2 linked regions of the Bombyx mori genome follow. The protein of the gene in region 1 purifies or fractionates together with the protein of each later gene. This does not show direct contact. Links are inferred from orthologs where the notes say so. Each region holds a gene or a part of one and is shown on either strand. Other genes may lie near its edges. The genes, in order: ribosome biogenesis protein WDR12 homolog and ribosome biogenesis protein BOP1 homolog.

Region 1 (4,439 bases):
CGCTTTTCTTTTAAGGCAATATTTTAGCTTATTGGCTGTATCTACTTTAACGACCATTTTGTGAAATATTTATATTAAATTCATTTCAATGCAATGTAAACAAATAGAACATCTATCTTTGATGGAGCCTGACATAACCTCAATCCTTTTTTTTTTAACAAAGAGAATTATTGTGGCAAAAGAATAATTATTGGGAAAATTTAACTCCTTTAAAATTAAGGTAAATAGCTAGTCTACTACTACTTTTGTTGTGGTTACCACTACATCTATTGTAGGAAGTAATTTTGAAGAACTTGTCAAAATTGGGCATTCGTTATTCGTTACCTGAGAATTTATTTAAGAGAGTGTACTACAAAGTGTACCTATATCAAGCTCAAAACTTATGAGTGTTCTGTGTTTGACCCATGATTCAGCTGTTAATTTAATGTTTCTTCAGGTTGAAATGAGTAATGACGAAGGTTTATAAGCTATTAAGAATCTGTGAAAGTGCATAAATGTAGGAAAACGAAACAGAGCCGTTGGATGTAGCCTTTCGGAATCTTCCAACAAGTCCACTGAAAAAGTTTCTGTAAATAACCAACATTTTAATGAGATTATATTTTATTCCACATTAACTTGCTTCATTTAATTTTATCTCAGTTGATTAATATAGACATGTGTAAGTAATGCGAGTGATATTACTCCGGTAATATTACTCTACGATGTAATGCAACATCACACATTACGCGAAGGAAACAAACATCACACTATCACTCAATATGTTTCTTTCTTTGTCGTGTAATGTTGCTTAATACACGAACGGAACCGAGCGAGCGAGACAGACCGATCGACCAAAATAAATGAGCAAGCGACATGGAATTATTCCTAGTGATTTTGAACCGTATGCCCTGGCCGCTAGGTACATTTTTATACCTATGGTACGTCTGAATTTTAATATAGGTATTTGTGTTTATATTTTTCATGCGGCCAGCCAGTAGTTCCCCGCAAGTAGTTACTTAATTTTTAATTCGCAACTTTTGTAAAATCGCTAGTCGCTCGTAATTGTTTAGTAATATTTCATATTAATTTCTGTGTTTGAATTACTTAAGCACTTGTATGAAGATAGTTTTATTATTTGTTTTAATGCGTGTTTAATAAGTGAAAGAAAGAACGGCGTCTAAATGAAAGTACAGTCCTCCTTGGATGCACTTTGAGGATATCGCGCCGAAACAATGCATCTACTGCTCTCGTATATTAACATTATTGTCGAGCTCAATTTGCAGTCTAAGTCGCCATATGAAATCCGTTCATCCCACAATAAATTATATTAAGTAAAAAATAAAATTATTATATTATTAAGTAAGTCAATCTCTGTCAAGTAATATAACAGTGTATTACAATACAAAGTTCATACTTTGTATTGTAATACACTACTGTAATGACACACCCGAATCATTACTTAAGTGATGTGTTCATACACATCACTTAAGTAATGATTCGGGTGTATAGATACAATGTACTCGTCGTCACAGTATCTATTGAACGCACCGAGTAATGTTAAGAGTGATGTGTAATGTTTTCGAGTAATATCACCTGTCCGTAAAAGTGATGTCATATCACATTACATTGGCAAGTGATGTTTTGCGCAAGTCTAGATTAATATCTCAAATTAATCAACTTCACTTCATTTCACTCCATATCATTTTTCATGAAAGAGAATAAAATATACAACATACAAAAGATTAGGATGTAACGTTAAAAATTTAGGATACCTTCGCCTTTTTACTTGGAAAAGTGGAACTACTACTGTCAGATGTCAGGTTTGGTGAAAACTGAAAACTGTCAATGAGAATCCGGCGTGTTATTAGTTTAGATTCAGGTCATTTCAGGTTGTGTAGTCTTCATTTATATCAATACCAAACTTTAACACAACTTAAAATATTGTAGTACAAAATGTCTGGCGATGCTTTAGAAGCTCAATTGCAAGTTAGATTTATAACTAAACAAGAACAGTAAGTTTTGCACTTGTTTTGACATGTGGTCCAATAAAGTACTTCGCTCTAAGCCGCCTATATTTTATGCAGATATGCAGTTCCGGATAGTCCTTACGCTATCCAGTGTAACGTACACCCTGCGGACCTTAATACCTTAATCAACGCAATTTTGAAGGAGACCTCACCATCGTTCGAGAAGGCGGTAATATTTGATTTCTTAGTATGTGGAGAGTTACTTTGTGCCTCCCTCGCAGAGCACTTACAAGAAAAAGGGGTATCGACAGAGGACACGCTTGAGGTCGAATACTTGGAAAGGTTCCCTGCACCAACTCCACAGGACTGTTTAATGCACGATGATTGGGTGTCAGCTGTTCAGGCACACAGTAGTTGGTAAGATGAAAACAAATTTAGATAAAATCAAATTATTTATTTATATAAATAAAAGTTAAATGTAAAATCTTACAAAATAATGTGTAAAATAACAAATCTCATTTCATCCAGGATTCTATCAGGAAGTTATGACAATAGCTTACATATATGGAGCACAAAAGGACAACACAAACTAGCCATACCAGGTCATACATCACCAGTAAAAGCAGTATCATGGGTGTCCTTCCAGGGTGATCAAGCTACATTTGTTAGGTGAGAAATTGAATAGATAGTAATTTGATAAAAATATTTGATATAAAAACATGTCACATTGACAAATTTAAGTTAAATTTAAATGTATCTCAGTATTATTTAGTTAGTATATTAAAAATGTATACTACAGATATAGCATAGCAGTTATGATCTGACAAAATTAAAATAGATAATTTATCATAAATAGAATGACAAAAATAATTAAATCCTGAAGATGTATACAGAAGGTTTTTTTTATTTTTGGAGTTTACTCCTTAAGAATCGATTTACATATATAGGCCCGGGGTATGAAAATTATGGGGACCAAAATCGTACTAGAGAGTATAGCATGTCACACGAAATGCGTTATGCGCCTGATTGGCTGATGGTGATGCGTGCGCGCGCCAATCAGGAGCCAACGCGCGGCCGCGTTATCGCAGGTGACGCCGGGCTGCTGCGCCGGCAGTCCGCCACAAAGCCTCGTACTGATCGCGCGTTTCTCTCATTATTGTATTTTCATATATTTGTTAGTCGTTTGTTTTGTGTCTCGTTAATTTGTTAATAATCTGTAGTGTATCGTGTTGTCGTAATATAGAACTATTTCTCGTATTGTTTCGTTTAATTTACCGACATCGTTTTGCTTGTGGCCGGACGCCGTTCGGGTTCGATTCCTGAACGTATCAACTGTTAGTGGGTTGATACCCGAATATAACCCGCTACAAATCATTTATTAATAAAGCTTATTAAATATAAACAATTCCTTCTATCAGTGAATGGACAACTTATATATTAATTGTAAAAGTGAATTATATAGACTTACTTAATTACCGCATCCACGTGTTCCGCAACTCCCGGATCATTCTCACTAGAATACGTAACTTCCATATTTTACTGTATTCAACTGACACAAATTTATATTTATATCCAGTAAACTCCAGTCGTGCGTCGGAGCGGACACACACACTTTTTTTTATTGCTTAGATGGGTGGACCAGCTCACAGCCCACCTGATTTTAAGTGGTTACTGGAGCCCATAGACGTCTACAATGTAAATGCGCCACCCACCTTGAGCTATAAGTTCTAAGGTCTCAAGTATAGTTACAACGGCTGCCCCACCCTTCAAACCGAAACTCATTACTGCTTCACGGCAGAAATAGGTAGAGTGGTGGTGCCTACCCGTGAGGACTCACAAGAGGTCCAACCACCAGTAAAAATGATATGTAGGTATGTATGATTTCAGTGGATCTCATGATCAAACAGCAATACTCTGGGTATGGAATGTACCTAGAAATTCTGTTGACTGTATGATCACTTACCGTGGCCACGACAAGGGAATTGAATGCCTGTCTGTGTCGGCTGATGGTAACCGTTTTGCAAGTGGGAGCTGGGATAACAATGTTTGTCTTTGGAGTGCAAGTGAGTAGATACTTAATAATAATTTAAGTGAAAGGACTTTTGGAAGGCATTGCTGACGTCCATGAGCGATGGTGACCACTTACCATCAGGTGGGCCGTATGCTCGTCTGCCTACAAAAGCAATAAAAAAATATATTGAATCGATTTAAACCCTAGTTGCAATGTTTGTACAGCTATATTATAGGTCTCCTTTGAGATGACAAGTGGAAAAACAGCTATGTGGTCCTCGAGAATAAATCAAATGTGTATTATATTGGTTTAGTTGTTATTTTTAAATTAGTTTTTTTGAATGTACATAATAAATAAAATATGCATATTTACCCAATTTAGGCTTAGCAGAAGAAGAAAACCATCCAGCTACGAAGAAAAGTAAACCAGAACACGGCACCACTAGAGTGAGTATGAATTGAATGAAGCAGTCCTATAACACC
Region 2 (4,578 bases), on another chromosome or scaffold:
GTTACACCTCTTGTGTAACAAAGATTATTAACTCGTAAACCTGTATTATTTTTCATCTAGAGAAAACTCGAATACAACGATAAGTATACAAGTAAATCCTATCAAGGAAAACCTCGCAACACTTACCACGTAAACATAAGCAATTTAAGTATAAACCTCAAAAAAATAAGAAAGAAACTGATAATAAAACATCTGCAAATCAGAATAAAGAGGAAAATGAACCCCTGCAGAAGCAGAGAAAAGCACATGAGCAGAAATCGTATTCCTATACAGTCAGATCTAAGGTACATCAAAATAATACAATCCATCAACCAGACTCTTATAAAGTCATAGAACAAATGTTTATAAAACAATCCCAAAAGATTGCTACTGTACTACAGCAAATGAGTACATTACTTGAACTCATTGCAGTACTAGCCTCTAAGTTAGTAAAATGACTGCACTAAAAATAACTACATGGAACATCAATGGCTTGGCACCCAACATCGATGAAGTGGAAATCCTGATCTGTCTACATAGTCTAGACATTCTCCTAATTTCAGAGACACATGACGACCAGCAGCTCGATAAGAATTAAAGGATATAAGATCTATTCCACAAATCATCCAGACGGTACAGCCCACGGCGGGACAGCAGTGATAATTAAAGCCACTGTTAGACACCATGTGTAACCAAACTACTGTACCGAACATATCCAGGCTACCACAGTAGCAGTCAGTGACAGAAATGGAGACTTTAATATATCATCAATTTATTGTCTCCCAAAACATAAAATAAGTGACACTTTTCTGACCACTTTGTAAGCTTGGGCTACAGATTTATTGCTGGGGGTGACTGGAATGCGAACCATTCGCATTGAGGCTCTAGATTAATAACTACACGTGGAAGGGAGCTGAATAAAAGTGTAGATAAACAGTTCTTGACTACTGTCTCAACTCCGGAACCAACACACTGGCCCACAGACCAGAACCGACTGCCAGACGTTTTAGACTTCTTCATCACAACAGGACTGTCTCGACTTTTCTTCAATGTTGAGTCATGCCTCGATAGCTCATCTAACCATATTCCAGTTGATTAATGTCTTAAATTAATCATCTTCATTTTATTTCACTCCATATTATTATTATCATTTTCATAAAAATAAGCATATAAAGGTAGTTTTCCAATTACAGCACTAGAGCGCATTATGTGGCATGATGCTCAACGTTGAATGTTCCAACTACAGCAACGCTTCGCATAATCGAGCACTCAAAAGTACTGCTCTTGCGTGATACTCGCAATCGATACCAACTCAGTCTCAGAAAGCTGACAAGTGTTTTTTCTTTAAGTTGGAATTGATCGAAATTTTGTTTATATTATCGTTAGTAATATTATTTATTGTTGAAAAAATTTGTAAGGCTTTCGTTTCGTCGTAGTTTCTTGGAAATGTTCAAAGTTAATTCAAACTGTACTAAAAAAATAAATGTAAGTATGGATGAAGTTACAAATAATTACTTTTTTTTATATTCCACATTTAAAATGTGAATACAATTTCATTTTAGAATTCCAATCTGTAAACAAATTTATTTTACAGGAATATACTTTTGAAAACATTGCAATGGCTTGATCGAATCATCATCATGAAATTAGCGCACTCTGCTGATGCATTTGAAAACTAATTCACGTTCCAATTAAGCTTCAGAATAATTCAGCATTGTGTGCCACTGAGTCGCATTATACTCTAATTGGAAAACTACCAAATTAAAACAAGGCATGACTTAAAAGTTTTAGTTACCAGGTCATAAAATCCCTTAAAAAATCAACTGTCAATGTCAATGTATGCCGAATTGCCGTAGTAGTATGTCAAAATAAAAGCGCAGCAATCAAACACACGTGTTTCTGCAAAATCGCTGAATATGTTAATTTAATAAAAATGCCTCCTCTAAAAGCTGGGTTAAGTTTGAAAAGAAAAATAGAAACAGAAAATAAGGTTGAATCTAAATATGAACAAGAATCATCTAATACTAAAGTACGTTGCCGCTTTGTTAAAAAGCTTTTTAAACTTTTTGCTACCAATATTATATTTATTCTTTTTAATTTACACTGTATTTTTCAGGGGCTAGAAGAGCTTACTTTGAGTGAATTGAATATAGAAGGTGATTCTACGGATTCCGAGCATGAAGGAAATGAAGAAGGCTCTGATCAGGATCAAGATGTAAGAATTGTTTTACTTTCTCAGGAATTAATTTATAATCAACCTTAAACGTAGTTGGTTTTTAAATATTGCCTTGTTAATTCACAGTTCACTTTAGTCTTAATTCAGATGCCATAATGTAAACAAACATTAGTGCCACCTACAATAAGACAATGTTGAAGTTTCTGTTTTATTGTATCATAAATGTCCCCCACTTCAAGCCTGTCTGCATGGCAGCTTTGTAACAGTAATGGTTTTGCATATGAGTGCAGGCCTTACAAATCACCCAGTCACCAGTAATCGGTATTGTTTGTTTGATTTTTTATGATTACAAGATTTCTACTGATGATGATTAAATCTGAGCTACAAGTTTCCTTAGAAAAATTGATATCTGACTGCCGAATCTTAAACTTGGTATATTCATATAATAATATGAGTAAACTAGGTACCTCATTTTAGGCCACCAGGAAGGCCAATTGGATGTGGAAAACTACAAAATGTTTTTCTTTTAATAATATCATATACACACCTAACTTAGGTGTGTTAAATTCAACAATTTATCCTTTTATTGTTATATGTGTACAATATCACAGTGCAAGAAGTGACTTTCTCGTCCATTCCCAGCTTCTAGTTAACTAACTAACTTTATTTCAAAATATTTCAGGAAGTTTTGTTTAAGGACAGTGATGTGTCTTCCCTTGAAGATGAAGATGTTGAATATGCTTCAGATGAATCGTCTGTGAGTAGGTTATTTTTGTATTACACTATAATACTATTAACCAAATTAAAAAGAATGCAGACTATTTATTGATGTACAAAACAAATTACAATAATTATAATACATACTACCTAAATCATACAAGTAGTACCTAGATCTAATCTGGATTGCAATCTAAATAGTATGTGCACTCAGCAAAACCATATTAATGTGCATAGCTTTGGCTGTTGAAAACACAATTGAAATTACAAATATTGATAACTAGCTATTGTTAAATAGGATATCCTTCACACATCCGACAAATCCCCTGAGTCTAAGTTCAAAGATATCAAGGTTACCGTGACATTTAGCCAAATTATTATACTGCCTGACCATTCTTACCATAGGGTTATAGTTTGATATATTATATTTATATGTCTGTAACGCAAAGAGGTTTACGAAATGCAAATTCGGGGCTCTGAAGTTGGTGTTGTTGTGGTTTTTATGTACTCTTACAGATATCGGTTACTTCTGGACAAGATTTGAAATAATTTTTTTTTAGTTAGAGCCCTACCCTGGATTTATTTGTTCAATTGGTTTCTTATGTTTCATTTGTGAAGAGGTTTTTATTTAAATTACAGTCATTTTATTTGCTTGAGCTGGTATTCTACGAATCCCCATGCGCTGGTCTGATCAGGTGAAAGATCTTACTGAAACCCCACTTAACGAGTGCGTGCGCCAAGCCTCAGCTCGCAAACTATGGAAAACATCTGTCAAGGCTTTAATAAACAAGGTTTCCACACGACCACGACTGCTCTACCAAGAGCAACCGACTATGCTGATGGTAGCATACAAAATAAGTACTGGTTGGGTGCTTTAAGCTTTCAAGATTTCTAGCTAATTCAGTGATCCTGTTAGTTACTACTGATTCCAAGGTTTCTGTCATGGTCTTTTAGATGTAACCTTGTACAACTCACACACCACTGGCCTTGAACAGCAATGAAATGTTCTTTTTTGGAGCCTTGACATCTTAAAGACTTCTGTTGAAGTTACTAGGTTAAGAAATCACAGAGGGACTGCTTTTGGTTTTCGTTTTTCATAGGGGAGCTTGTGATGGTTCCTGCTCTTAATGTTCCTTTAGGAAACAAAAAACTTATTGTCTTAAATTGTGTCCCATTGCTTTAAATTGTAAAGCTTCATATGATACTTATGAATTTAAACTCAAGCATTAACGCTTTTAGAGTATTTCATTAAGTATCAACAAAAACTTTTAGGCAAAATCTTTTCTTATAGGAGTTAACCGATTCAGAGGCTGAAGGTGAATCTGTGAACAGCAATGATAATAACAATGCAGAAAGTGAAGATAGTGACACAGAAAGTGATGCAGAATCTGGCATTGGACACACTCATGGCTCCAGTGGCAGTGAATCTGAAAAACAGACTTTGAAAAATAAACAAAAGAAAAAAATAGCAAAGCAAAAAATTAAAACGAAGAAACCAGATAAAGACTTAAAAGAAAAGTCACAAAATAAAAAAGGAACCACTTCTAAAGGCAGTGTGGATAGACTAGCTGACGTCATTGAGGGATCTTCACAAATGCAACCTGTCGAACAGAAAGGTAAGTTTTATTATAGGACATCTCAGGTTCTCAGGTTTGGGTTATTAATTACACTGTTGGTAGCTGATAGCAATTTTTACCGGTGGTAGG

Evidence for each region.
Region 2: the proteins of ribosome biogenesis protein WDR12 homolog (region 1) and ribosome biogenesis protein BOP1 homolog purify together in Homo sapiens (affinity purification with western blotting; 6 studies listed by BioGRID and IntAct, with this or other methods). This does not show direct contact. The link is inferred for Bombyx mori from reciprocal best matches to the Homo sapiens genes WDR12 and BOP1.

What each region holds. Positions count from the first base shown.
Region 1 is NC_085114.1:8,374,019-8,378,457, forward strand, and holds the start of ribosome biogenesis protein WDR12 homolog, read left to right. Parts: upstream 1-1,639; 5' UTR 1,640-1,932; coding exon 1,933-1,991; intron 1,992-2,063; coding exon 2,064-2,363; intron 2,364-2,474; coding exon 2,475-2,615; intron 2,616-3,833; coding exon 3,834-4,009; intron 4,010-4,338; coding exon 4,339-4,403; intron 4,404-4,439. Other genes in the region: WD repeat-containing protein 75, read right to left, coding at 1-57.
Region 2 is NC_085124.1:480,855-485,432, reverse strand, and holds the start of ribosome biogenesis protein BOP1 homolog, read left to right. Parts: upstream 1-1,523; 5' UTR 1,524-1,912; coding exon 1,913-2,008; intron 2,009-2,095; coding exon 2,096-2,194; intron 2,195-2,837; coding exon 2,838-2,912; intron 2,913-4,163; coding exon 4,164-4,488; intron 4,489-4,578. UniProt on the Homo sapiens protein: Component of the PeBoW complex, which is required for maturation of 28S and 5.8S ribosomal RNAs and formation of the 60S ribosome.